Linked DNA regions of Macaca mulatta. The protein of the gene in region 1 purifies or fractionates together with the protein of each later gene. This does not show direct contact. Links are inferred from orthologs where the notes say so. Each region holds a gene or a part of one and is shown in the gene's direction. Other genes may lie near its edges. The genes, in order: PPP2R2D, ECSIT, PPP4C, SERTAD4, CDCA4, IER5 and PPP2CB.

What was found.
Region 2: the proteins of PPP2R2D (region 1) and ECSIT purify together in Homo sapiens (affinity purification with mass spectrometry; 3 studies listed by BioGRID and IntAct, counting the BioPlex papers as one, with this or other methods). This does not show direct contact. The link is inferred for Macaca mulatta from reciprocal best matches to the Homo sapiens genes PPP2R2D and ECSIT.
Region 3: the proteins of PPP2R2D (region 1) and PPP4C purify together in Homo sapiens (affinity purification with mass spectrometry; 3 studies listed by BioGRID and IntAct, counting the BioPlex papers as one, with this or other methods). This does not show direct contact. The link is inferred for Macaca mulatta from reciprocal best matches to the Homo sapiens genes PPP2R2D and PPP4C.
Region 4: the proteins of PPP2R2D (region 1) and SERTAD4 purify together in Homo sapiens (affinity purification with mass spectrometry; 3 studies listed by BioGRID and IntAct, counting the BioPlex papers as one, with this or other methods). This does not show direct contact. The link is inferred for Macaca mulatta from reciprocal best matches to the Homo sapiens genes PPP2R2D and SERTAD4.
Region 5: the proteins of PPP2R2D (region 1) and CDCA4 purify together in Homo sapiens (affinity purification with mass spectrometry; 3 studies listed by BioGRID and IntAct, counting the BioPlex papers as one, with this or other methods). This does not show direct contact. The link is inferred for Macaca mulatta from reciprocal best matches to the Homo sapiens genes PPP2R2D and CDCA4.
Region 6: the proteins of PPP2R2D (region 1) and IER5 purify together in Homo sapiens (affinity purification with mass spectrometry; 3 studies listed by BioGRID and IntAct, counting the BioPlex papers as one, with this or other methods). This does not show direct contact. The link is inferred for Macaca mulatta from reciprocal best matches to the Homo sapiens genes PPP2R2D and IER5.
Region 7: the proteins of PPP2R2D (region 1) and PPP2CB purify together in Homo sapiens (affinity purification with mass spectrometry; 6 studies listed by BioGRID and IntAct, counting the BioPlex papers as one, with this or other methods). This does not show direct contact. The link is inferred for Macaca mulatta from reciprocal best matches to the Homo sapiens genes PPP2R2D and PPP2CB.

What each region holds. Positions count from the first base shown.
Region 1 is NC_133414.1:144,033,910-144,037,409, forward strand, and holds part of PPP2R2D (serine/threonine-protein phosphatase 2A 55 kDa regulatory subunit B delta isoform), read left to right. Parts: intron 1-238; coding exon 239-351; intron 352-603; exon of another isoform or gene 604-1,498; intron 1,499-3,500. UniProt on the Homo sapiens protein: Substrate-recognition subunit of protein phosphatase 2A (PP2A) that plays a key role in cell cycle by controlling mitosis entry and exit. Involved in chromosome clustering during late mitosis by mediating dephosphorylation of MKI67.
Region 2 is NC_133424.1:12,248,716-12,252,215, reverse strand, and holds part of ECSIT (evolutionarily conserved signaling intermediate in Toll pathway, mitochondrial), read left to right. Parts: intron 1-3,104; coding exon 3,105-3,500.
Region 3 is NC_133425.1:28,478,803-28,482,020, reverse strand, and holds the end of PPP4C (serine/threonine-protein phosphatase 4 catalytic subunit), read left to right. Parts: coding exon 1-26; intron 27-236; coding exon 237-338; intron 339-878; coding exon 879-1,052; intron 1,053-1,139; coding exon 1,140-1,266; intron 1,267-2,112; coding exon 2,113-2,302; intron 2,303-2,379; coding exon 2,380-2,509; 3' UTR 2,510-2,718; downstream 2,719-3,218. UniProt on the Homo sapiens protein: Protein phosphatase that is involved in many processes such as microtubule organization at centrosomes, maturation of spliceosomal snRNPs, apoptosis, DNA repair, tumor necrosis factor (TNF)-alpha signaling, activation of c-Jun N-terminal kinase MAPK8, regulation of histone acetylation, DNA damage checkpoint signaling, NF-kappa-B activation and cell migration.
Region 4 is NC_133406.1:67,970,106-67,974,377, forward strand, and holds the start of SERTAD4 (SERTA domain-containing protein 4), read left to right. Parts: upstream 1-1,472; 5' UTR 1,473-1,599; exon of another isoform or gene 1,600-2,074; intron 2,075-2,247; coding exon of another isoform or gene 2,248-2,547; exon of another isoform or gene 2,548-2,647; intron 2,648-2,701; exon of another isoform or gene 2,702-2,816; intron 2,817-4,272. Other genes in the region: uncharacterized protein LOC712687, read right to left, coding at 339-355, 782-866, 2,248-2,547.
Region 5 is NC_133412.1:178,452,459-178,456,481, reverse strand, and holds the start of CDCA4 (cell division cycle-associated protein 4), read left to right. Parts: upstream 1-1,223; 5' UTR 1,224-1,808; coding exon 1,809-2,090; intron 2,091-4,023. UniProt on the Homo sapiens protein: May participate in the regulation of cell proliferation through the E2F/RB pathway. May be involved in molecular regulation of hematopoietic stem cells and progenitor cell lineage commitment and differentiation.
Region 6 is NC_133406.1:38,498,210-38,502,313, forward strand, and holds IER5 (immediate early response gene 5 protein), read left to right. Parts: upstream 1-1,465; 5' UTR 1,466-1,671; coding exon 1,672-2,655; 3' UTR 2,656-3,604; downstream 3,605-4,104. UniProt on the Homo sapiens protein: Plays a role as a transcription factor. Mediates positive transcriptional regulation of several chaperone genes during the heat shock response in a HSF1-dependent manner. Mediates negative transcriptional regulation of CDC25B expression.
Region 7 is NC_133413.1:32,598,432-32,602,509, reverse strand, and holds the start of PPP2CB (serine/threonine-protein phosphatase 2A catalytic subunit beta isoform), read left to right. Parts: upstream 1-1,278; 5' UTR 1,279-1,282; coding exon 1,283-1,384; intron 1,385-4,078.

The sequences.
Region 1 (3,500 bases):
TGAAAATTCAAAGTATGCAACAAAAACCACACGTGCAAGTTACTAGGATGTTACTCTGCACGTCTCCACATCTTTGTTTATTGTGCAAAACACCTCCAATTGGAAATATTCATGTTCAAAGACCCCATAGCTTATAAACCAACATAGGACCACACCGCTTTCTAATATAATACTCAAACAGTAGTGATGCATGTTACAGTTTTTCTTTTCATATGGAGAATGAGGTTTTTATTTTCAGATAAAACTATAAAATTATGGAAAATAAGTGAACGGGATAAAAGAGCAGAAGGTTATAACCTGAAAGACGAAGATGGAAGACTTCGAGATCCGTTTAGAATCACAGCACTACGGGTATATGTTGCCTTTTCTTTATCCAATGCCGTTCAGAAGTTAAGAATAAATGTTTACGTCTGCTGTTTGGAGAGTCCTGCTGGGTGGAATACTGTGAGGTCCGCCTCCTGAGTCATGAAAGGCATTTGCGCTCATGACACATGTGTTTAAAGCAAGGTCTTTCTCCTATTTTCACAAAGGCAAAAAGTCACATGTGGTCTTTAGACAATACTGCAATACTAAGGGGAAAACTCACATCTAATTCTACAGCAGAAATCTTGGTGGACGTACCGACCACCCTTCTCTCTGAAGGTTCGGAACAGCACCTGGCAAGTTGAAGTTCAGATGGAATTCCGAACACTTCGCAGGTGAAACAGCACAGGCTGCAGATCGAAAGATAGGCTGTGGGCCACCAAGATGCATTCAGGATGTTCTCATGGCATTTCTTTGGGGTTGACTTAGGCAGATGCTGACAGTTCAGAACTCTTCACCTGTCCATCCATGAGCATCATTACTTTTTTAATTGTTAAGTTATTTGCTCCATTGTTGGCGCCCCCCTATCCCCACCCCCCCCCCGCATCATGCAGTATGAAATGACCATATTTCGTCAATTCCAGGGCCTAGATTTTTTCACATTTTAACATCTATGAAATCGGGTAAAACTTAAAACCTCAATGTCTTATAATTGGCCTGGTGCTACGTACGACTGATGTGTGTCTTAAATTAGATGGAACATGGTGAAGGGTGTCCAGCAAACTGGACTCCAGCCCGGGTGTGTCTTGGTGAGAAACCAGCACCTGTGCAGAGGTGTGTCCCCTGGAAGGAAACCCTGCCTGGTCCCAAGGGAGTGCCATTACTAGATCTGAAAACGGTTGGTGGGTGGGTGGGTGGGTTGGCTGGTTGGTTAATTGGTTGGGTGGTTTCGTTGCCGGGGGGTGGGTGTGGCTGGTTGAGTTGGTTGGGTTGGGTGGCTGGTTTTTAATGAGATTTCAGCCCGTTACGCTATTGTTTATCAAGTGAAGACCGAGTGAGCGAGCCCATTCCACATTAGCCTTTGAAGTGCTACAGAGAAGGACGCTGAGCTGCAGAAGCCTTTCCCTAACACACGTGCCCCTGGGAGTGACGCTGGGTCTGTTCTGATGCCATTTCTCCAGCTTTGCCGTGCGGGGTGGGTGCACCTGGGGTCGTGCATTCCCCAATTTCCCAGGAGGAGTGTCCTCAGACTTCTCACATCGAGGTTATCACCCTGTTTCCTATGAGCTCATCAAAGTGAGAAAGGCTGTGGCATGTGCTGAAAATGTAGTTTATAGGGTCCTAATGTGAGCCAAGATGTTTCAATCCAAAATGGTGGTGGTGTCTGATACGCAGTGCCGCTGCCTTTGCATCCATGAATTAGTGTAAATCATTTTTAGTGACAGTGACACGAGTTGTGCAGTTCCTTTATCATGAAACTGCTGACCCTAAAGTAGAAGTGTGATGGGACCCCTGAGGGTGGGCACTTGACCCCCTCCAGTCTCGTCCATCTCTTCTACAGGCAACACCACCTCCCACCCAGGTACCTGTGCATACCCCACCCTCAGAAACCCCTGTTCCTCCCGATCAGACCCTGCCACAACCCATGAGTTCACATGCTCATTTTGGGAAAACAGTAGGCCTTTACTAGGCCCAGTCTTGGTTTTATTCAAGGCTGCTTTTGTAGGTTTAGCCTAAATAAAATGGGTATAATTGGTGGCCCTACTGAAGGCTTGTGAGAAGTATAGTTATTTCATTAGTCAGTGCATGGGGAAGAGACCACAGACAGGTAATTCTGTACAATGACTTAGGTCAGTATTTGAGATTGTACCTCTCTAACAGTTCAGAATGGGCTATTTATGTATCTGAGCCTAACTGGGTAAGAGTCAGAAATGTTGCTATTTTTAAATTTTTGCTCTTAAATTATTTTAGTGCCAGAAAAGGGATATAATTAAAAGAAGAAATCTTGGCCAGGCACGGTGGCTCATACCTATAATCCCAGCACTTTGGGAGACTGAGATGGGAGGATCACTTGAGCCCAGGAGTTCAAGACCAGCCTGGGCAACATAGCCAGACCCCATTTCTAAAAATGAAAACAAATTATTTTATATGTAAATTAAAATTTTTTTAAATAAAAGAAGGAATCTTTGTAAGTATTGCAGCCATCATGTGTTTTGATTAATGGGAGATTTGTTAGAGGATTGTGGCAGGTGTGTGTTTTTTAAGCCTGAACTTCATTGAACTGACTCTTCTTGATCTAAAGAATCCAAGGCTGTGGTCAGCACTAACCGGGTTAAAATGGGGGAAGTCTCACTACACACACTTCTCCACGTTCGTTTTTTACAGAATTTGGCCAGACAAGACTCAGTTGAGAGATTTTTTTTCCCTAAGCTTTCAAGGCTCTCCCTTTTGGTTTCTAATTACAAGAATAACAAAAAATACTCTCATTAATTTTTTGTTTTGATTTTAAAGCTTATGTTTTTCTTCCAGCTGGGTGTTAGGGAGATGCAGACCTTTGTCCTTTTTTCATGTGTGATGCTATTCCTCACACCTGAGCTCTCACCTCTGACCGCAGGCGGCCTCCAGCCAGCACCCTTCTCCTCTCTGTCCTTTCCATTTCAGTGTGAATTGGGCTTCCCTAGAAGCCTCCCTGACCGCCGCACTCGACACAGAGATGGGTGCGGGAGGTACCTTTTACTTTTTGTTTTAACCTCAGATGAAGTGTAATGAATAATACATACCTCCAAATAATATGTCTGCCCTATAAGTGACCAGCTCCATGAATGTTTGTAGACTGGACATGCCCATGTAGTCAGCCCCAGACCAAGAAATGGAACATCCTCAGCTCCCCAGCACCCACCTGTGCACCCTGCCAGTCCCTGGAGCCGGTGGAGGCTTGTGGGGTTTGCACCAAGAAGCATAGTCCTGGTGCAGTGAGAGGAGTTTTGTGCATGTAGCTGCAAGGAGAGGACAAAGGGAGGGGCTCAGCTGAGCCACCCAGGAAGACTTTGCTGTCCAGCGTCTCAGTGTGGCCACCAGAAGACGCATAGGAGAGGGAGCCGCAGGCCTTGGTGCCTGGGCAGCTTGTACCGTGCCAGCTGATCTTCTTTTCTTCAGCAGGAAGAAAATGTCGACCTCGGTAATGGAAGCAAGGGGGA
Region 2 (3,500 bases), on another chromosome or scaffold:
TGGTAAATATCGTCTCTTTTGAGACAGGATCTCACTCTGTCGCCCAGGCGGGAGTGCAGTGGCGTGATCTTGGCTCACTGCAACGTCAACCTCCCTGTCTCAGTTGATCTGCCTACTTCAGCCTCCACAGTAGCTGGGACTACATACATACACCACCATGCCTGGCTAATTTTTGTATTTTTTTGTAGAGATGAGGTTTCAGCAGATTGCCCAGGCTGGTCTGGAACTCCTGACCTCAGGTGATCTGCCCACCTCAGCCTCCTAAAGTGCTGGGATTATAAGTGTGAGCCACCAAGCCTGGACTAATATTGGCTCTTAACTTGTTAGCTATATATGTATTTATGTGTGTGTGTGTGTGTCTGTGTAGATAAACACACATACATTCACTTATTTTTTAGAGATAAGGTTTCACTCTCTCATTCAGGCTGGAGTGCAGTGACACAATCGTAGTTCACTGCAGCCTGGAACTCCTGGGCTCAAGCAATCCTCCCGCTTCAGCCTCCTAAGTAGCGGGGACTACAGGTATACACCACCATGCCCAGCTTATTTTTTAATTTTTTCCATAGAGAGATGGAGTCTCACTATGTTGCCCAGGCTGCAATGCAGTGGTGCAATCAAAGCACAGTACAGCCTTGCTAACTAGCTGTATATTTTTAAGATGCCTTATATGTAATCCTTCTAATTTAAAAATTCAATTTAAAATAAGAAATTTGTTACTGTGTCATCTAGAACCAGAGTTTGGCTACTCTGGAGACTGAGGTGGGAGGATCACTTGAGCCCAGGAGTTCTGGGCTGTTGTGCACTATGCTGATGGAGTGTCCTGCACTAAGTTTTGCATGAATATTGTAACCTCCTGGGACTTGGGGGACCACTAGGTTGCCTAAGGAAGTGTGAACTGACCCAGGTTGGAAACAGCAGGTCAAAACTCCTGTGCTGACCAGTTGGCTCATGCCTGTGAATAGCCACTGCACTCCCCACCTGGGCAACATAGCTAGATTCCATCTCTTTTTTTTTTTTTTTTTGAGACGGAGTCTCACTCTGTAGCCCAGGCTGGAGTGCAGTGGCCGGATCTCAGCTCACTGCAAGCTCCGCCTCCCGGGTTCACGCCATTCTCCGGCCTCAGCCTCCCAAGTAGCTGGGACTACAGGCGCCCGCCACCTCGCCCGGCTAGTTTTTTGTATTTCTTAGTAGAGACGGGGTTTCACCGTGTTAGCCAGGATGGTCTCGATCTCCTGACCTCGTGATCCACCCGTCTCGGCCTCCCAAAGTGCTGGGATTACAGGCTTGAGCCACCGCGCCCGGCCTAGACTCCATCTCTTAAAGAAAAAAGGGTCCCAGCGCTTTGGGAGGCTGCAGTGGGTGGATCACCTTAGGTCAGGAATTCGAGACCATCCTGGCCAACATGGTGAAACCCCGTCTCTACTAAAAATACAAAAATTAGGCCAGGCACAGTGGCTCACATCTGTAATCCCAGCACTTTGGGAGGCTGAGGTGAGTGGATCATGAGGTCAGGAGTTCAAGACCAGCCTGGCCAACATGTGAAACCACGTCTCTACTAAAAATACAAAAAATTAGCTGGGCGTGGTGGCATGTGCCTGTAATCCCAGCTACTTCGGAGGCTGAGGCAGAAGAATTGCTTGAACCAGGGAGTCAGAGGTTGTAGTGAGCCGAGATCGTGCCACTGCACTCCAGCCTGGCAACAGAGCGAGACTCCGTCTCAGGAAAAACAAACAAACACAACACAAAAATCAGCTGGGCATGGTGGCAGGCACCTGTAATCCTAGCTACTTGGGAGGCTGAGGCAGGAGATTCGCTTGAACCCAGAAGGCAGAGGTTGCAGTGAGCTGAGATGGCGCCATTGCACTCCAGCCTGGGTGATAAGAGTGAAACTCTATCTCAAGAAAAAAAGAAAAAGAAAGGGGCTGGGTACGGTGGCTCATGCCTATAATCAGAAGACTTGGGGAAGCTAGGTCAGGCGCGGTGGCTCACGCCTGTAATCCCAGCACTTTGGGAGGCCAAGGTGGGCGGATCATGAGGTCAGGAGATTGAGACCATCCTAACATGGTGAAACCCCGTCTCTATTAAAAATACAAAAAATTCGCTGGGCGTGGTGGCGGGCGCCTGTAGTTCCAGCTACTCAGGAGGCTGAGGCAGGAGAATGGTGTGAACCCGGGAGGTGGAGCTTGCAGTGAGTGGAGATTGCACCACTGCACTCCAGCCTGGGCGACAGAGCGAGACTCTGTCTCAAAAAAAAAAAAAACAAAAGACTTGGGGAGGTCGAGGCAAGTGGATCACTTGAGGCCTGGAGTTTGAGACCAGCCTGGCCAACATGATGAAACCCCATCTTTACTAAAAATACAAAAATTAGCAGGGCATGGTGGAACACGTCTGTAGTCCAGCTTACTTGTGAGGCAAAGGCATGAGAATCGCTTGAACATGGGAGACGGAGGTTGCAGTGAGCTGACTGTCTTAAAAAAAAAAAAAAAAATTAAAAGCAAAAAGGGCCACCAGGCACAGTGGCTCATGTCTGTAATCCCAACACTTTGGGAGGTGGAGACGGGATGATCACTTGAAGCCAGGTGTTCAAGACCAGCCTGGGCAAAACAGCGTAACTCCTGTCTGCTGAAAATGGAAAAATTAGCCAGGTGCGGTGGTGTACACCTGTAGTTCCAGCTACTGGACAGGCAGAGGGGGAGAATTGCTTGAGCCCAGGAGTTCAAAGCTGCAATAGCCCTAGTAGCACAACTACATTCCAGCCTAGGCCACAGAGCCAGACCCTGTCTCAAAAAAAAAAAAAAAAAATATATATATATATATATATATAGGGCATGTGCGTGTCATCACTGTGATTATTACCAAGTTGCCTCCGTGGCAGTTTTTACCAGCTCCCCATAGCCATGGCTAACAGTACCTGTTCCCTCCCTACTGTGCCAGCATTGTGTTTTATTGCACTTTGTAATGGCGTCGAATCTTGGGTTCGTAACCACAGTTCCATACCTCCAAGTCCTCAGGGAGGCCACTGGGACCTCTCCCAGGAAAGCCAGCCTGGCGCCCCCATGGACACTGGGAGGTGCCGGATTCCAGCAATTCTCCTCCCTCCCCAGGTCCCTCGCCAGCTCCCTCGGGGCCTGCACTGCAGCGCAGCCCCCCATAGCTCTGAACAGTCCCTGGTTTCCAGCCCACCGGAACCCCGGCAGAGGCCCACCAAGGCTCTGGTGCCCTATGAGGACCTGTTTGGGCAGGCGCCTAGCGGGGAACGGGACAAGGCCAGCTTCCTGCAGGCGGTGCAGAAATTTGGGGAGCACAGCGTGCGTAAGCGGGGCCACATTGACTTCATCTACCTGGCCCTGCGCAAGATGCGGGAGTATGGCGTCGAGCGGGACCTGGCTGTGTACAACCAGCTGCTCGACATCTTCCCCAAAGAGGTCTTCCGGCCTCGCAACGTCATCCAGCGCATCTTCGTCCACTACCCTCGGCAGCAGGAGTGTGGGATTGCCGTC
Region 3 (3,218 bases), on another chromosome or scaffold:
TCTATGACCTCAAAGAGCTGTTCAGAGTAAGTGTGTGGCCAGTACTGCGAAATGTAACGGGGATGACTAGAAGACCCCTTTAATCGAGGGTGAGAGCCTTAATTTGAGGGTGTGGAGTGGGGGCAAGAGGCCCCGAGTTAGATGGGCAGTTGTGGAAGAAGGGCCTCTGCTGGACAGAAACAGGTAGGGGGTAGGGGACTGTTTAGGACAGGGCAAAACTTTCTACTTCCCCACAGGTGGGTGGCGATGTCCCTGAGACCAACTACCTCTTCATGGGGGACTTTGTGGACCGTGGTTTCTACAGTGTCGAAACGTTCCTCCTGCTGCTGGCACTTAAGGTGGTAGTCCCCGGCTTCTGCACCCCCAACCTGGGCCACCTCGGGTCGGGCCTGTCTTAGTCCATTCTACCCTCATCTCCTACTGTGGCCAGCCCCACCTGGGAGCTGTGTCACTGATGATGGACCGATCCTGCTTTTGGGGGTGGTCAGAGACTCAGGGGTGGTGGTGGTGAGGCCAGTGGGGCAGCATTCTGGGAGGGGCAGAGGCTCACTGTTGCGAATGTGGCAGGTCATTGATGCCACTGGTGGGAGAGGCAGTGTGGGGCCAGATGACAAAGGGCCTGGGTGCCTTGCTTAGGGACCCGGTCTGTGTCTGGCAGGTGAAAGAAGAGCCATTAGGTTCATAGTTGATGGGGATGGGTCAGGTTTACATTCTCTGGAGGGGTCCTGCAGGCCTGGGAGGTGGCTGATGCCACACGATCAGGTGAGAGGTTCCAGGAGTGTGCTGGGCAGTGGTTGTGAGGATGGCATGAGGAGGTCAGAGAGGGATGTGTGGAGAGACCGTCTAGGAGCCAGCCCCGGCTTGGTGGCCACCCCCAGGTTCGCTATCCTGACCGCATCACGCTCATCCGGGGCAACCATGAGAGTCGCCAGATCACGCAGGTCTACGGATTCTACGATGAGTGCCTGCGCAAGTACGGCTCGGTGACTGTGTGGCGCTACTGCACCGAGATCTTCGACTACCTCAGCCTGTCAGCCATCATCGATGGCAAGGTAGGCCAGCTCAGGGCTCCATGGGACGGGGAGAGGAGGGGGGCTCCAGGCCTCAGCCCCGCCCTCTTTCCTTGCTGTCCCCTGTAGATCTTCTGTGTGCACGGGGGTCTCTCCCCCTCCATCCAGACCCTGGATCAGATTCGGACAATTGACCGAAAGCAAGAGGTGCCTCATGATGGGCCCATGTGTGACCTCCTCTGGTCTGACCCAGAAGGTGAGGGCATGTGGGCAGGGGCAGACAGGGACAGCCAGGAGGGGTTGGGAAAGAGAGGGAGCAGGGCTGGCCTTCACTGGCATCTGTCCTCCACCTACCAAATGGCTGGAACCCTGGAGGTTGAGCAGGGAGGCCTGCATGACAGATGCTTTGAACGCACAGTGGCTTGGGGCATGGCTCAGAGGGCTGTAGTGGACAACTAAGTCATTGCTCCCTGAAATGAAGGGATCTTGGAACATGACAGCAGCTTCTTCAGAGGTCAGAACCCCAGAATGATAGCCCCCTGAGACCCCTCTTTTTGTGGGTTCTCCACTAGTGTAGAGCAGAGCTGAGATTTAAAGTCAGGTCTTCTGAGGACCAGCCAGAGTTCTTGTTGTCACACATACACACAGGCACACACGCGCACACACACACTCTCTGTCTGCTCCATCATAGCCACACGCACGTGAGGCCTCTGCTCCACAGCCACACACACACAGACACACGCACACATGCAGCCACTGCTCCACAGCCACTCCCGACCGCTCTGTGACAGCACTGGGTGCCCTTCTGTCTTTGGGAGCACCCCTTTCACTCCTGTGTACTGTTTGGCCAGGGATTATATGATCACTGTCATTATGAGGAGGTCCCAGCCATTGGGCATTCTTTCTCCTCTGGAGCTCATCTGCCCCTACATTTGCTGTCCTGGTCCCCACCATCCCACAGACCATATTCAGGCCCCATGCTCTGGTCCCATGGGCCTCTGGTGGACTTGGGGAGGGGCCAGGCTGCTCACCCTCAAGGGGCAGTGCTGGCAGCCGGAGAAGCCTGAGGATATCCCTCTGCATCCCTCCCTTGCCCCATCAGACACCACAGGCTGGGGCGTGAGCCCCCGAGGGGCTGGCTACCTATTTGGCAGTGACGTGGTGGCCCAGTTCAATGCAGCCAACGACATTGACATGATCTGCCGTGCCCACCAACTGGTGATGGAAGGTTACAAGTGGCACTTCAATGAGACCGTGCTCACTGTGTGGTCGGCACCCAACTACTGCTACCGGTGAGCCAGCTGGGCCGGGCTGGGAGGGGCGGGCATCTGAGCCGAGCTGCTTCTGACCCTGCTGCCCCGCCTTCCAGCTGTGGAAATGTGGCAGCCATCTTGGAGCTGGACGAGCATCTCCAGAAAGATTTCATCATCTTTGAGGCCGCTCCCCAAGAGACACGGGGCATCCCCTCCAAGAAGCCCGTGGCTGACTACTTCCTGTGACCCCCCCGGCCCCTGCCCCTACAGCCCTTCTGGCCCTCGGACCACTGTGACTCTGCCTTCTTCCTCAGACGGAGGCTGGGCGTTGTGGGGGGAGCTGTCCCGGCTCTGCTCTTCCCCAAGAGGGTGCTTCGAGGGTGAGGACTTCTCTGGAGAGGCCTGGAGACCCAGCTCCATGTTCCTCCTCTCCTCTCTCCCCACTTGAACCATGAAGTTTCCAATAATTTTTTTTTCTTTTTTTCCTTCTTTTTTCTGTTTGTTTTTAGATAAAAATTTTGAGAAAAAAAAAGAAAAAAAAAATTCTAATAAAAGAAGAAAAATGGTCTTTGGGTTTTTGCCAGACTTGGTTGGGAATGCATAGGGTTGCTGGCCTGGGACCTGGGGTGGACCTCAGGGCCTTGACTGCTTCAGGGCCCCGACCTGCCAGGATGGCCAGGCTCAGGCCAGTCAGCTTGCCCAGGGCCTCCAGGGGCCGCTGCCCGCTGGCTTCCCCAGTGCTAGGGAGAGGGCTCTGTTCTCATGCAGCCTTATTAACAGCATCACGAGATTCTGATTTCTCCACTTTCCTGAAGAGATGGGCCTAGAGAGCTGGTAGATTTCGTGCTAGGTCAGGCAGCTGGAAACACAGGTTTAGATCTGGGTCTGGGTCTCCCAGCAAAGCCTTTGCTCACCCAGCCCCGCCCAGGGCCAAACACAGGAGCTTCAGTGTTTC
Region 4 (4,272 bases), on another chromosome or scaffold:
TGTACAAAGTTCAACAGAAACACCTTCAAAACAGATTAGTTCTAATTATGTTTAATATTGGTTTGCTACTTTATTGAATAAACTACATTTGCTTAAAAAAAAAAAAAGGAAATTCACTTAACTGCATGTCAGTCACCCAAGTTTTAAGTGTACAAATGAAATGGAAAACATTTATTACACAAATTTAATTACAATTCTAAGAAATAAACATGCAAATTAGATAGAGTTCAATTTGCAGATGCTAATCCTCATCCTTGATCTTGTTCCTTCCTCCCTTGATTTTCAGTCTGTGCGTCTTCTTGATTCCTAGGGTGCCAGGCAGCCAGAGGTTTGGTTTTTCACAGTCGGAGGATCACTGTTTTAAAGAAGTGTTATATTTAGCACATCTGGCATAGTGGCAGTAAACAAACATTATAGTCTTTGTAACACTTTTGTGCAGGTGCCTTCTCCCGATTTTATTAGGTCTATGCCTTCCAAGCCTCTGCCTTCATTACACCTAAAATGACCCATCTCGGCTATGGAGGGGTCCCTAGACAGAAGTTATGAATTAATGTTTTTAAAAAATAAACTCTGAGGCCACTATAGGAGAAAATTACTATTTGCAAAAATTCTGATTCCAAGGCTTAAATTACATTCTCTTCAGCAAGGACAATCTCTTGTATTACTTTTTATTTCCTGGAGGTTTTCCCTGGAGGCTCCCCACCCAGAAAGAGTTGCCAATTCAAGTTGCAGCAGGACCAAGGTTGCTTTTTTTTTTTTTTTTTTTTTTTTTTATACGTACGCAGCTCAGGAGGGAAACGGGCGGGGGCGGCGAGGGAGAGTAACTGTTTGGTCCTGCAAAGACATCTGTTTCTCATCTCCGTTTGCTGTGGCAAAGGAGAAGAAAGTCTTTTGCAAACGGTGGGAAAGGCACAGATTTTTTTTTTAATCACACGCACACACAACAACAACAAAACTAAACCAAATTTTAAAAGACAAGACATCTCGGAAGGTTGCAGTGTGAATACATTATTCGGCTGGAGCCGAGCCCCCAGGGTTAGGGCGGGAGCCGGAGAGCGCGTGGGGTCTGGGCTGCGGGCTGGAGCTGCGCCCGCGTGTCCCCGGGCACCGGGAAGGGAGGGGAGGAGAAGGAGGAGGGAGGGCGGGAAGGAGGGAAGGAGGCAGGGGGCGGGCTGGGGTGGGGGTGCGGGAAAGGCGCCCCGTGTGCAGCCTGAGGAGCGGCGGCGGCGGCGGGAGCAGAGGGAGGGAGGGAGAGCGGGCGCGCTTGTCATGTTCCCTCTCTCACCCTGGGGGCATCCTGCAGAACCTCTCCTCGGAAATCCACGGGGAAATGGCAAACAGGATTGACGGGTTTCACACGCTGCTCGCTAGACAGAGCCGCTCATTACCATAACCGTCTGCAGCGACGGCGGCGCAGCGCCCGAGTCGCGGCGGCGGGACCTGCCGGGACCCTCGCCCGCCGCGCACCCGCAGTCACCGCCGAGCGGGCCGCCGGGCCGGGACCCGTGAGTGTGCACCGGCAGCCGGGCTGGCGCCGAGCCCAGAGCGGACCAGCAGCGGCTCAAGCGCTGCGGCCGCTGCCTCCCCGCTGACCCCGCGGTAAGAGCCGGGCTGGGCGCAGGCCGCGGGGGCGGGAGAGGGCCGGGCCGGGTGGAGAGGGAGGGCCGGGCCGGGTGGAGGGCGAGGGCCCCCCGGGGCTCCTGCCCGCTCAGACGGGCACCCACGCGGCCTCCCGCGCGCCCTCTTGGCACCAGGGCTGCGCCGAGGTCACCGAGTGGACTCGCAGCGGCCGGAGCGGGGTCGGGGCGGCGTGGGGGCCAAGGCACAGCTGGGCGCGGAGGCGGCGCGGGCTTTTCCCTGGGCTAGCGTGCGCTGCGGCGCCTTCACCAGGGCGGGAACCGCCGCCTCCTCTAGGGCTGCTCGGGCTGCCACCCGCGCGCACCGAGACAACTCCAGGGGCGGGTGGGGTCAGAAGCTCTGGTGAGACCTCAGGGTCCTCGGTGGTCGCTTAATCCCTCATCCTAGGGGACGGGGGTCAGTAGGAGGGGTTCCCCCAGGTCCGGATGCCGCGGCGCTTGGCAGGTGGGGAGAGAGGGATTGTGGATGTCAGGAGCGCGCGTTTGCAAGAAAAAGGAATTGATGCAGTAGCTGACACCTTCTGTCCCCCGCCACCTCCGCCCCCGCACCCTCCTCCCAGGCAGCAGAGCCGCGCTGCGGGCGGCGGCGGCTCCTCTGTCCTCAGCTCACCTCCCCGGCGGGCTGAGGCTGCTGCCCGCCTGGTCCACGCCTCCGCCTCTCTCTTCCCTTCCTCCCCTCCAGCCTCTTCGGCCCTAGCAACTTTCCGAGTGCCCAGCTACGGTCGCAGAAGCAGGGAAGAGGCGTCCTCGCCGCCAGGTCCCATGGGCGCAGGGCGCTCCCGCGGCCGGGGGCTTCCGGCGGGTTTGGCCGGCAAGGGAGGGAGGGAGGGCCGGGCCGGCATCTGCTGCGGGCTGGAGCGCGGGGGCCCGGGCCAGCCCCGCCAGAGCCCTGCCAGCCGCCGTGAGTCATTTCCTTGGAATCCTACCTTTGGTGTTTATTTCCCTTAGAAGGAAACTTGGTTGAAAAAAAAAAAAAAAAAAAAAGGATAAGACATAAAGAATAATAATAGCTCTTATTCTTCCGAAGAGGCACACGGCTCCGGCACCGTAGAAAGACAACTTGCCTTTGTTCCCGGACACTTGGGGTGTTGTTTACTTTCTCCTGCGGCCAGCGGCCGACCGGGAGCTGCTGGCTACCCCGGGAGGGGCTGAGGGCTGCGGCACCGACACCCCGGGGGTGTGTCTGTGCGGGAGCCAGAATGTGGTTGGTGGCTGCCGCCCGCCTTCAAGAGGTCGGCCCTCCAAACCTCGGACCCCCCCACCCCCCGCCCCGCCGCCAACACACACACACACCTTGGGCACCGGGGCTTGGACATCGGAGCACCCCTTCGTGCTCTTTAAGCCCACCCAGCACCTGCAGCCCCAACCACAGGACCCAGCTTCAAGCTCTTGACCTCGTAGGGCTGCAGCTGAGACATGTACTTCCCAGGGCAGACAGGTGTACTGCAGGGACCGGCAGAAAAGCGACATCTGTCTGTTTAGAAGGGTTGAAGGATTTTGTTCCGCCCATCCAGTCCCTTCCACTACCACCACCAGGAGCCGGACAAGCTATTGAGATCATTTTAGGACAATGTGGAGGTCAGGGGCTTGATGCCATTTAAGACTGGCAGCATCGATCGAGGGTGGAAATAGCCCTTTACTTCCCTGCTTTCCAGTGCTGGAATCAGACTGCTAACTGCTGTAATGATCTTAATCAAATGCTCTCCAGTTTTCAATGACAGATGGAAGAAGAGGTGAGCGAAGAATAACCTGGCGCCCCTTGTTAGATTCAAGGTGCCGCTGAATTCATAGCTATCCTGTTTTGTGTGCCAGCCACTCTTATTAGCATCATAATTGCTTTGAGGAAAGAATAAGCACAACTCATCTGGAAAAAAACAAATTGTGTAGGAATGTCTGGTAACTTTACTATGAACATTTGCTGGAAAAGCTTGGCATTCTAGCCCTCAGCCTTCTGGGGATGCTGGACATGTCATTCCACTACAGCCACCTGGGTGTCAAAACAGACATTCAGGAGCCTGAGGATGAAGGGTTGGGGCTTGTTTTTGTTTTTGTTTTTTTAATCTTTTAAACCCATGCATAGGCAAAACACACTCTAACACCCTCCTGTTGAATCCACCACCTCAGATGTTAGAAAATAAATTTTGTCATAATGTATATCCTTTTATTTGTTTAATATTAATAGAACATGAATTTGTGGACTTGAACTGCTGACATCAGTAGCAGAATTATAAATCTCATCAGACTGAGAATTATGACAGTTTAGATCTCTACATATAATATGAAGACAGATTCATGTTAAGCATTTGTGCTTAATCCTGCAGTGTCCAATTTTTCATGAACAGTCAACTTGCTTTCTTAATTTGTTAACATCCATCCAGTGTTAAGTTTTAAATAGACTAGGAAGACTCAATTGCAAAATCTCCTCCCTGTTCCCAAATAATCCCAATTCATTCACGTTTTATTCAGATTTACATAAATCACTTGCAGAACTCAGCCTCTCTAGTTTAGGGTTTTGTGTGTAACAGTTCTCAATTTACAGAAGAAAAACTTACTAAAATTAGATATTGTGAACAAAAAAATAGCCAAGATAAATACTGTTATGCCATGTTTCCAGTTCACATGCATAATAGCATCT
Region 5 (4,023 bases), on another chromosome or scaffold:
GCTGAGGCGTGAGGATCACTTGAGCACAAGAGTTCGAGGATACAGTGAGCCATTATCACGCCACTGTCCTCCAGCATGGGCGAAATAAACCCGTTTTTTTTTTAAATAAGAACAGTGATTCTTTTCAAGCATAATTCAGATCCCAGTTCCTTCTCTGCTGACCGTCCCAGTAGTCTCCATCCCACTCAGAGAACAGCCTCAAAATCACTCCACCTCTCACATTTAAACTTTCCCACGAGATCACAGGGTTCTTTTTCACTGCACTGAGACTTCTTCCTGCCCCTGCCTCGGGCTTTGTCCTAGCCATTCCTCTCCTGGAATACTCTTCCACTCTTCCTTTTGGTGCTTTAAGACGCCTCTTATCCTAGAGACCTATGTGAGCAGCGCCCCAACGTCACTCCCAGCTTTTTCCGACAGCATTTCAGCATTAACCACTGACCTTGGCGCATCCGCATCTGCGGATTCAGCTGAGGATTCCCCCACCACCAGCACAGGGTTCTCAGCTGCAGCCACGCCTGCCGGGCCTGCTGCAGGCGTTCAAAGAATATTAGACTCTTGTATCCTATTTAAAACCTTTTCCACTAAGAGATTTAAAACACGTGTTTCCCTGCTTTCTACTTTCACGTTACATTTCTTACGTGTAAACCTGGGAAGCCTCTAGAGATAACCGCGGTTTCTGGAGAGGCTGGGATAGACTTCGGAGCCCAGGCCGCCCGGGAACTGCCGTTCCCGGCTCCTCCCCACCCCGGCACGGATCCCTCGGCAGAGAAGTTAACCTAGGCAGAAGGGAGAGAGGATCAGCCCCTACCAGGCTGCCCCGCCACGCCCTCCCGAGGGCACCACGTGGGCCCCCAGCGCAGGCGCATTCAGTTTAGGACCCGACGTGCGGAGACCTGCGAGCCGGCGGGGCTGGGCGGGGCCGGATTGGGCGCGGGGAGACCTGGGAGCCGGCGCGGCGTGGGCGTCGCGGGGCCCGGCGCGGAGGCGGAGGCGGGGGCGGGGCGACCGAGGGCGCGCGCGAGCCCCAACGGCCGTCGCCGCAGCGCGGGAACACGCGCCGCAGATGCCCCGCCCGCGCGGGTTTGAACAAGAGGCCCCGCCCCCGGTCCGTGGGTGGCCAATCAGTGGGCACGGCGCGCGGAGGGCGCAGCGTCGACCCTTTGTGGACGCTGAGTGGCGGTCGCACGCCCCGCCCCGCGCCGGCGGGCGCTCCTCCCTCAGCGGCGGGAAGCTGGTGGCGGCGGCGGCGGCGGCGGTGGCGGCGGCTGAGCAGAGGAGCCGGCGGGCGGCCTCGCGGGTCAGGTGAGCGGGTCTGGCTGACCGCGAGGGCGTCTACGGCGGCGCGCGCGTTTGTGCTGCCGGGCGCGGAGGAGCCCGGGGGCGGTACGCGGAGTCTGTGGCTCCTGGCGCTGGCTTGGGTCCGGGGCGGAGGCGGCGCTCAGGGTTCCCGCTGGGGCTGCCGCGGGCGCCCTCGCCGCCCTCCTGGGCGCTGGTTCCACCGCGGGGTGGCCGCTGCTGAGGGGGCCCGGGGAACCAGAGGGGCCCGGGCCGCCGTCTGCGTTCCATGCGGATTGCGGAGCTGGGGCTTCGTCGAGGCCTCCGGGCGGCCCCACACGGGAGCGACTTCGCGAGGGCCCGGCTGGGGTACGCAGCGGCGTTTCCTGTACCTCGGCTCTAGTTGCCGCGGAGGGAACGCCGGGCGCGCCCCGCCACGGCCGCCCCCGCCCTGTCCCCGGCCGACCTCACTAACCGGGCCAGGGCGCGCTGCAGCCCCCTCAATTGGATCCCGGCCGCGGAGAGGGCCGAGGATGTGGGAGGAGGCCCAGACCCCGGGCGGGTCGGCCAGCGCCGTCTTTCCTGGGCTCCTCCGGCGTTCCGAGGTGGGATTAGGAAGAGTCCCCGAGACATTTGCAGAAGTCAGAGGCAAGCTTCCCTGCGCGTTTTCAAACGCTTCTCGTCCAGTAAACAGGATCGTCGTGACAAAGGCTCCTACAGCTTGCTGGAATAGAGGGTCTCCGCTGCCTCGCCTCTCCTGTGGCCTTCGTGTGGGACTCACGAGACGGCAGGACCCAGATAACCGTTCTCTCAAAGTGAGCCACAGAAAAACATCGCCTGTTCCCAAAACTTAGGTTTTATAAACTTTCTACGTACAACCACTCTATTTTCAAGTGTCACCATGTTTTATAATTAGGGTGGAAATCAACACAAAGTGAGTTACACCCTTTTTCTAGGAAGAGTGGTAGGCTTTATCTTAGAAAAGGGGCCAGGAAGTTTCCCTCAACTTGCCATTGGAACATGTTTTCAGGGAAAGGAAGGTGTATCGTTCCAAGTAACAAAAGTACCTGAAATTAGCTGGGCGCGGTAGCTCACACTTACCAGCACTTTGGGAGGAGGCCTAGGCGGGTGGATCACCTGAGGTCCCCAGTTCGAGACCAGCTGGCCAACATGGTGAAACCCCGTCTCTACTAAAAATACAAAAATTAGCTGGGCGTGATGGCGCATGCCTGTAATCGTAATCCTAGCTACACGGGAGGCTGAGGCAGAAGAATCACTTGAACCCGGAAGGCGGAGGTTCTCCAGCCTGGACGACAGAGCAAGACTCCGTCTCAAAAACAAAACAAAACAAAAATAACCCCTGAAATTAACGTATCAGTAATTGTTCAGGAACAGCCTCCAGCAGACTGTAGTGGAAGGTGGAGCTCCCACTCAGTAGATCTCAAGACTGAAGACCTTGCTCCTCTTCTTCCTGTTTTTCCGATAGAGTATTTCAAAGCTTATCTGATGTGTGAGAAATGGAAATTGTTGATAATTTGCTTAACCCGAAACTTCGAAGTGGCTGCAAGTCCAGCTGTGAAGGTGACAGGTTAGGTCAGAGTTGAGTCTGTCCCCAGCAGTCCCAGCCCTATTGGTCAGAATCTGGGAATCTGCATTTTCAGCCAGCCTCATGGGATTGCTCAGCCACGAAGGTGTGGCGGCTGCTGCTGTAGTGAAGGGCCGGTCCCTCAGCTGTACTCTGCTTGCCTGAGTAGCACTGCGGGGCTGCTCTCTGCTGGCCTCTGCCTCCGTGGGCTTAGTTTACTCTGTCCCTAGTGGCCTGTAGGCTGTCCCACCTGCCATGTCAGACATATCTTCAGTCTGTCTGACCCTCTTGGTTTTTCTCTTTCTGGTTGATGCTTGGTTTAGAAGCCTAAGGGCGGTGCTGGGAGTTGACTGAGGGGTGAACGCCTTGGCTGTCCCGTTGACACCCTGTGGAGTTGGTGGGATTTTAGGCATTTAACTAGATGTGTAGAAGGAGCTTCAAAACTGAGCAGGGGGTCAGGCATGGTGGCTCACACTTGTAATCCAACACTTTGGGAGGCTGAGGTGGTCGGATTGCCTGAGGTCAGGAGTTGGAGATCAGCCTGGACAACATGGTGAAACCCCGTCTCTGCAAAAAATACAAAAATTAGCCAGGTGTGGTGCCACGTGCCTGTAGTCCCAGCTACTCAGGAGGCTGAGGCAGGAGAATCGCTTGAACCTGGGAGGTGGAGGTTGCAGTGAACTGAGATTGCATCACTGCACTCCAGCCTGGGGGACAGAATGAGACTCCTTCTTAAAAAAAAAAAAAATTGAGCAGGGAGCTAGGCTCCACAGCCCCGCCCGTATGGTATAGGGCCCTTCCTTCCATATTAGAAGGAGTTAAGCAGCCTCAGGCCAGAGTCACACTGGAGGCCCTCAGGGAGCTGGGCCCAGCCCAGGCATCCCTCAGGGCTGGTCAAGATGATGCTCTTGGTGACTTTGTCCCAAACACAGATATGGCCCAATTCAGGGTGATCCTCACAGGCCAGCTTCTCCGGGCCCAACCTTATCCTCTTCACCCCTGAACGCACGTTGTGGGTGACAGCTCTTAGGGGTCACGCGACTGTAAAAAACACCTGTGAGCTTTACTCCTTTTTGTATTAATAGTAATAAACTTGTTAGCATTTTAAAATATTGGGTACAACACAGAATTAGCTGCTGGAGATTTGGAACATTGGACAGCAA
Region 6 (4,104 bases), on another chromosome or scaffold:
TGAAAATTCCTAGAGGGGGGAGGAACTGGGTCTCAGAGCCTGCAGTCTCAGTTACCATCAGTTGTGGGCACAGGTAATGCTACTGAGCCATCACATCTTCTGGAGATTGTCAATTGGTCATGATCAAGCCCACCCTTCACTGGTATTTTTCCTAAATAAATTCATTGCTTGGCCAATCCCTGGGGCAGGATCAGGCCCAGGGTTCCACATGGACTCCAAGAAAGCAGTGCTTAGTTTTCTCATTCAGTTTGTGGCTGAGAAGTTGTCATTTATCGTCTGTACAATAAAGCAGATGTGTATGTGACTTCCCCTTTTCAGCGGTGGAGACACTGAAGCGGTCTGAGGTTATTTACCCAGAGTCCTCAGGCAGGTCTGTGGTGGAGCTTCGGTGGAACTAACTGGAAGTGACTCCATGTTTCCAGTCCAGGACCCTGGGCAACCCTGTGGTAATTGTGCCCTGATATAAGGACCAGTAGATGGACTACATTGTTGACTGACCAGAAAATTCTGGAACTCCCTAGCGCTATATTTTTACCTTGACACAAAATGAAATTATGACATCATCATGGGAACACAGGACTTCTTTCTTTTTATTTTCAGACCTTGCTCGATTTTTCCAAGGGTTGACTGATCAGTCCTTGTAATGGAAAAATGGAAATGGGAAAAAAATCATTGTGGAGAACCTGTAACATCTTCCATTTAACCTATTTGATAACTGGCTTTGTTCCAGAATCTAGAGAACAAAGTGAAAGATGCCGGCTTTAGAGGGCAACCAGTAACTTTGTATCTAGACACAATTCCTTGATAAGAAGCCAAGAACCTAGCCAAAAACTTTTAGAATCCCCTTTTTCTTTGGTGTTAGAACTGACAGCTGCTAAGAGTGTATGTGACTCTAGCGGGGAAAGCGGCTCATCCAAAAATAATGACAGCCAAATACTTTGCAGTAATACTATTTGTTATCCAGGGGTGTCCTCCGCCGCGTATAGCCACCATCTCTATTTTTGCCAGGGTTGAGGGGAATCGCTTACAGGTGTGGCGGGCCTGGAAATGGTGGCGTGGCCGGTTAGGGCGGAGTTGATCAGGAAAAGATCAGGACTTTATGGCAGAACAGAGTCCAACACCGTGCTCGGAAGAAAGTTCGAATATTTTGTTCGCTTTGGTTCCGGCAAGCCATCGCACAAGCCAGAATCTGTAACTCCAAACAGTAGCGCCCTCGAGCACGGTCCCCAACACGGTCCCCAACACTCACTCCCCATCGGCCTGGTCTGCGCCCGCAATCCGTCGCCCCCTTTAAGAGCTTGCTCCGCGGGACTAACGTTCGAACGGGCCTTGGCGCCCCTCCTCGGGCTCCGATTGGCCGTGCGCGGCGCACGAGGGCGCGCCGGCCAGCCGCGGAACGGTTGGCGGCCCTTCGTGATTGGCGGTCGAGGAGTCTATATAAGGCGCGGGGCGGCCGGGCTGCCCTGTTTAGCTACCGGACCCGAAACGGGGTAGTTGTCTGGTGTAGAGAGGTCTGCGGGGCAGTGAGCGCGCGTCACCGGAGTCATTTCTCTTCGGAGTCTTAGGTGATCAAGGGTGTGCCCACGGGGCGGACTTGTTTGCGCCTCCCGTTCCCTCCCAGTTTCCGAACGTAACACCCCGGCGCCGACGGCCCTGTGCAGGGGAGGCAGGATGGAGTTCAAGCTGGAGGCTCACCGAATCGTCAGCATCTCCCTGGGCAAGATCTACAACTCGCGGGTCCAGCGCGGCGGCATCAAGCTGCATAAGAACCTCCTGGTCTCGCTGGTGCTGCGCAGCGCCCGCCAGGTCTACCTGAGCGACCCGTGCCCCGGCCTCTACCTGGCCGGTCCCGCTGGGATCCCGGCGCCGCCACCGCAGCAGCAGCCCGGGGAGCCGGCGGCCGGGCCACCCGCCGGCTGGGGAGAGCCGCCCCCGCCCGTCGCCCGTGCCTCTTGGCCGGAGACCGAGCCGCAACCGGAGCGCCCTTCCGTCTCACACGCGCCGCGGGTAGGGGACGAGGTGCCAGTGACCACGGTGACCGGAGTCGGGGACGTTCTTCAGGGCGGAGAGGCGGACGCGACGGAAGCTGCCTGGAGCCGCGTGGAGCGGCCGCGCCAGGCGGCGGCCGGAGAAGCCGAGGGTCCCGCCGGAGGCTGGGGCGTCTTCCCCGAGGGATCGCTTGCCGCGCGCCGCCCCTGCGGCTGCCCCCTAGGCGGGGAGGACCCGCCGGGTACACCGGCCGCGACCCCCCGCACTGCCTGCTGCTGCGCGCCGCGACCAGCCGAGGACGAGCCCCCCGCGCAGCCCGCAGTGTGCCCCAGGAAGCGCGGCGCGGCGGGGGTGGGCGGCGGCCCAGCGGGCTGCCCGGCGCCCGGCTCGACCCCGCTCAAGAAGCCCCGCCGGAACTTAGAGCAGCCGCCGAGTGGAGGAGAGGACGACGACGCGGAGGAGATGGAGACCGGGAACGTGGCTAACCTCATCAGCATCTTCGGTTCCAGTTTCTCGGGACTCCTACGGAAAAGCCCCGGGGGCGGCAGGGAGGAAGAGGAGGGAGAGGAGAGCGGCCCGGAAGCCGCCGAGCCCGGGCAGATCTGCTGCGATAAGCCGGTGCTGAGAGACATGAACCCCTGGAGCACAGCCATCGTGGCCTTCTGAGCCCTTGGCCCCCATGCGGGGAGGAGGTTGAGCAGCGGGCGTCCTCGAAGTGAGGGTCGGGCCCTTGCTGGCTGCGAGGACGCCCAGAGACCGCGGCCGCTGAGCGCGTTGGGCAGACTGGTTGCCGCTGGGCATCGCAAACTGCCCCCGGGCGCATCTGGCTTTTCTGGAGACCTGGGAGCTTGAGGCTCATTGGAAGAGGACGATCTTTAACTTTTTGTGTTTGTGTATGTCTGTGTATGTAAGTTTGTCTTGTGGCATTAAGACTATTTTGTTCTGGAATGCACCACTCCTTCCCCAGGGCTTAAGAGATTGGGGGCAGACAGGGACTTTCCTCTGCCGGCTGCGTGGAGAAGGAAGCGGCTAAAAGGTTTGGGCCGGGGAGTTCCCCATTCGTTCTCCGGGGAGGGAGGGACTTTACACCCACCCCTCACCGGAAAGCTAGACCCGCTTCAGGGCCAGGAGTGGCGTTTCCGCACAGGATTTCCTAAGACGAGAGGGATTTAGGCAGCAGCACAGACTTGGATTCCTTCTGTCCCTCCCCACCTTTCTCTCCCAATGAAGAAACGTTTATATCCTGTGATTACTCTAGGAAAGGGGCATATTAACCGTCCTTTGCTTCCCCGCAGGGGAGAAAAAGCTTGAACTTCACAGAAGAGTTCAAGCTTGGAAATAATGGAGTTTATAGAGAAAAGATATATTTTTAAAAGCTCTAGGTCAGAACTACTACACAGTGCTTTTAAAAAGTGTTTAATGAAAGTTTACAGACAGAAGCCCGAAGTGGAAAGACCTTATGGTTTTGTAGATATGGTGACTCCAGTCTTTGTTATATAAAGGTTGGGGGAGCTGATAAGGTTTTTGTACAGTATTTTCTCCTTCGTTGTATTGATTTTTGTATAAAAATGTAACTTCTACGTGTCTAACACGTATTAAATATTTTGAAGCAACGTAACTGCCTGCTTGTCTGCAATAACCTGCCTGGGTTGGGAGGGAAGTGGGAGGAGGGAAACCAGGGCCTGGGCTAGAAAATTGAAGGTGTGGTTCTTAATATCAGTCATTCGCAGACTGAGAACATTGTTTACTGACTCCACTAAGTATCAAGAGAGACACGTTTAATTTTTCCTCCTAGATCAGAGGAATGCTATTAGATACTAATATCAGCGACCTGCCAGGTTCTTGAAACCTACCGCTACAACTGGCTTTTCTAAGGTCGGTTTAGACCAATTTGTCACCCAATATGTGGGTATATATTATTAAGTAATTTAACCATCAGCTTTTGAAGCCCTGCTTATCTGCAAAAATGTTTTTCAGCAAAACTTTGTTTCCTGTTAAGCTGTTAATATGGGTCATCTTTTAGCTTTGTAATTGAAAAAAAAAAAGTTTAGATAGTTTACCTTAAAAGCCCATTCGAACTGACATAGGAAGATGAAAGAGACTGACTTGTCCAAA
Region 7 (4,078 bases), on another chromosome or scaffold:
AGGAAGAAATTTAGAACAAAGATAGGTAGTTTGAGATCTCCATGATAGTGGACACCATTTTCCATTTGGTGAGGTCCAGGTTTCTGAAAAACAACTCAGGGACATATGTTGTCTCCAGTTTATATAGGGAAGCAAACATTTTGTGAATCTAACGTCCTTGGCTACTGTCTTAAGCTATTATTACCTTCTTGCTTATCAGGTTGCTCATTGACTTATTGAGGAAGTTAGGTGCCTGGAATGTCCCTTCGGGGAACTCAAGGTTTTCCTTTATTTCCATGCTTGGGGAGGGTGGGGGTGGGAGTGCCTAGAAGGCCCCTAAGAGGGGTCCCTGCTGTGTCTCACTCAATAAATATTTGTTGAATGAACAAATCATTACAACTCAGTACACATTGCAGAAAACACAGCCAAGAGCGCTGGAGCTAGAAGGGCCACAGATTATCCTACAGAGCAATCATTTCACTTTTCTAATGTTGAAAGGGAGGATTCAAGATGTTAGGGCTACAGGCAAGCCTGGAAATAATTAATTTACTCCACCATTATTGAATGCCTACTATTGAGTGCTAGACTCTGGGGAGACAATGTTAAGGGAAGCCCAAGTTTTCCAATTCCCTGTTCCGAGCGCTGAAAAAGCACTGCAGGAAGCTAAAGTGAGGACAAAGTTCCCGGAGATCAGGATATCTAAAGGGAGAACCAGCAGAGCTTGGTCTGGGGCAGGGTTGGGACAGGAGGGATCCTGGCCTCCTCCGACCGTTTCTCCGCCAAGCCACGCGAGGGCGCCGTTCTGCCCCTAGCGCGCCGTGTCCCGGCGGCGCCGCCGCCTGCTCGCCTTTTCCCGGCGGAAATGCCCGAGCGATGACGGAAACCCGGAGGGAGGGAAGAGAAAGAGCGAGAGAAGGGGAAAGATACCCGGGAGAGGCCGGCAGGCGTGAGGCGGGCCTGAAGCGGTAGCTGGCGGCCTTCGTCCGGCGAGAGCTAGTCCGAGGGCCCGCGCCGCCCTCCCAGCACCTCCCCGCGTCCTTCACCGACTCCTGCGGCGCGCGGCCGGGCGGGGAAGGGCGGGCGGGGGTCTCCTACAGGCCTCGCGCTCGGAGCCGCCTGCTGGGCTTGGGCGGGGCGCGGGGACCGCGGCCGCCCTCCCCGGCTCGGTCCTCCCCTTGTGGGATCTGGCGACGGCGGCTGAGGGAGAGGGGAGCGGCGCCCGGGCCGGGGCCGGGGGCGGGTGGGGAGGGGGGAGGGCAGCGGCCGGGCCGGGGGTCGGGATCCGCATCGGGATCGGGCCGCCATGGACGACAAGGCGTTTACCAAGGAGCTGGACCAGTGGGTCGAGCAGCTGAACGAGTGTAAGCAGCTGAACGAGAACCAAGTGCGGACGCTGTGCGAGAAGGTGAGGGCGCCGCGGGGGCGAGTGCGGGAGCGCGGAACTGGGACGGGCCGCAGCTTTCCTGCCCGCCCCGGCCCGTCCGCACGCTGGCCCCTGGCCCGGCGCGGCCCACCGGGGGCCCGCGGGGCTGTGGGTCCGGCTCCGGCGTCTACCCGGGCGGCCGGCCCAGCCGTTCCGGCCCCGGGGCGTTGGGCTGCCCTCGCCCGGCCCCTCTGCCTCCGCGTGGTACACGCCCCACGCCCCCGGCCCAGATCCTGGTGGTGGGAGGCTCGAGTGCGGGCGGGCGGGCGGGGAACCATAGCCCCTGGAGCCAAGCCGGAGGTTGGTCGGGGTCGCCTGCGCTCCACTGGAGTTCCTGCCACTCTGGCATTTCCCGAGTGGAATAACGAAAGCGACATCCGAAAAGGACCATTTTCAGACCAGTTTCTGAAAATGCACCTAAAATTAACCAGAATGTCGTGCCTATTAATGAACTTGTTAATAAATGTAGAATTTTTGTCAGGTGAACGGGGCACCTCAGAAATCACTAACTCAAGCCGGGCGCGGTGGCTCACGCCTGTGGTCACAGCTACTCGGGAGGCCGAAGCGGGAGGATTGCTTGAGCCCAGGAGTTAAAGACCAGCCTGGAGCGCAGAAGTTAGAGACCAGTGAGGCCCCGTCTCCACAAAATTTTTTTTTTTTAAATTAGCAGGGCGTGAGGGCGGGTGCCTGTAATCTCAACTATTCAGGAGGCTGAGGTGGGAGGATCGCTTGAGCCCAGGAGGTGGAGGCTGGCTGCAGTGAGCCGAGATCGCGTCACTGCACTCCAGCCTGGGCGACAGAGCGAGACCTTGTCTCAAAAAAAAAAAAAAAAAAAAAAAAAAATCACTGACTCTTGAATGTGTCAAGCGTTTGTTTGTGGAGAGGTAGGCGTGATGGCCAACTGTGATTTTTAAAATAGAGGTTGACTTTGGTGGAAACAGATGGTGACTGGTCTTTGCGTTGAGTGGCTCTTGGAAGTAAAGCGTTGATTCAGAAACGAGAGCTGGTCTTAAGTTTGGGAACAGTGTTTGCTGGAAATAAATGGGATGTGTGTTTTCATGCACGATAACACTTTGCAGAAAGTTTTTGTTTTTAATATATAAAGTTTTTTTCTTTTCCAAAGAATAATAAAACATGCAGGTGATCAATTTCGTTCTTGTACATCGTGTGTGATCTTCACTTTCTGAATTCTGTATCCATTGTTTTCTTAACTCCTGGAATTATTTCGATCTCTCCATCTTTAAAGTCTAGAGTTTTCCAAATTCATCCTTTACAAGGTGGACTAAATAATTTTCATGTATTTTTATGTTAAAAATTCTCACTTGAAGTCCATGAAGAAGTAACGATGTTATTTTAAGATGTATACAATTTTCTTAACCATAATGTTTGGAAGTCATGACGTCGCAGAAGTAGGTGAAGAAAAGATTTTGTTAGTCTAATTTTAGGACACTCTTAAAATCATGAAATTTACTTAGGAAAGGAGCACTAATAGATGGTGTTAAGTTAAAATAGTATTTTTAACGGGTGTAATGTTGGCTGGGGCCTTTGTGTATTAAGTAACTGTTAACACAGGAGGATTTATTTTTGTATATAGAAGTGCCAAGCAGGTGGTACTTTTCTCTTTCTGAAACAAACTGCTTACTTGTGACTTCAGTCGACGTTCATTTTTATTGTGATAACCTGTAATTTCATGAGGCTTAAAATGTATGCTTTAAACATCTCTCTCAAGCTCTAATGCCAAGTGAAATGTACAGGTTTGAAATGAGCTGAGTCAGTTAACCTGACTATGAGCATCAGAATACAGACTTGAAGTTAAGGGCAAAGTGTTAGTTGAATCAGTTTTTTCCATTGACTCTTTTTTTTGTTTTATTTTTGTTTTGAGACAGAGTCTCACTCTGTAGCCCAGACTGGAGTGCAGTAGTGCCATCTCTGCTCACTGCAACCTCCACCTCCTGGGTTCAAGGGATCCTCCTGCCTCAGCTTCCCGAGTAACTGGGATTACAGGTACACGCTGCCATGCACTGCTAATTTTTGTATTTTTAGTAGAGATGGGGTTTCGCTTTGTTGGCCAGGCTGGTCTAGAACTCCTGACCTCAAGTGATCCCTCAGCCTCCCAAAGTGCTGGGATTACAGGCACGAGCCTCGTGCACAGTCCCCATTGACTTTCTAATAATTTTAAGGTGAACTCCTAGAGAAGAATATCGTACCACTGCTGTACTTTGAAATAATCACACCGGAGTGTCAACGATCACTTGAGGAAGCTTTCTGTATTTGTCGAGAGAGATTATTTTTACTTCGGCTCCTAAATAAATCAAACTAACAGTTCCTAGGACTTCACAGGTATATTTAAGATTATCTCTTGTATCTTACTAGCTTTTTTTTTTTCTTTTTAAGATGCAGTCTTGGTGTATCAGTCAGGCTGGAGTGCAATGGGGCAGTCACTGCTCACTGCAGCCTCGACCTCTGGGGCCCAAGGGACCTTCCCACTTCAGCCTCTCAAGTAGCTGGGACCACAGGCATGTGTCACCACACCGGGATAATATTTTTTTGTATGGGGTCTCACCATGTTGCCCAAACTGGCCTTGAACTCCCAGGCTCAAGCGATCCTCCCGCCTTGGCCTTCCAAAGTACAGGGATTGCAGGAGTGAGCCATCACTCCCAGCCCTTTTTTTTTTT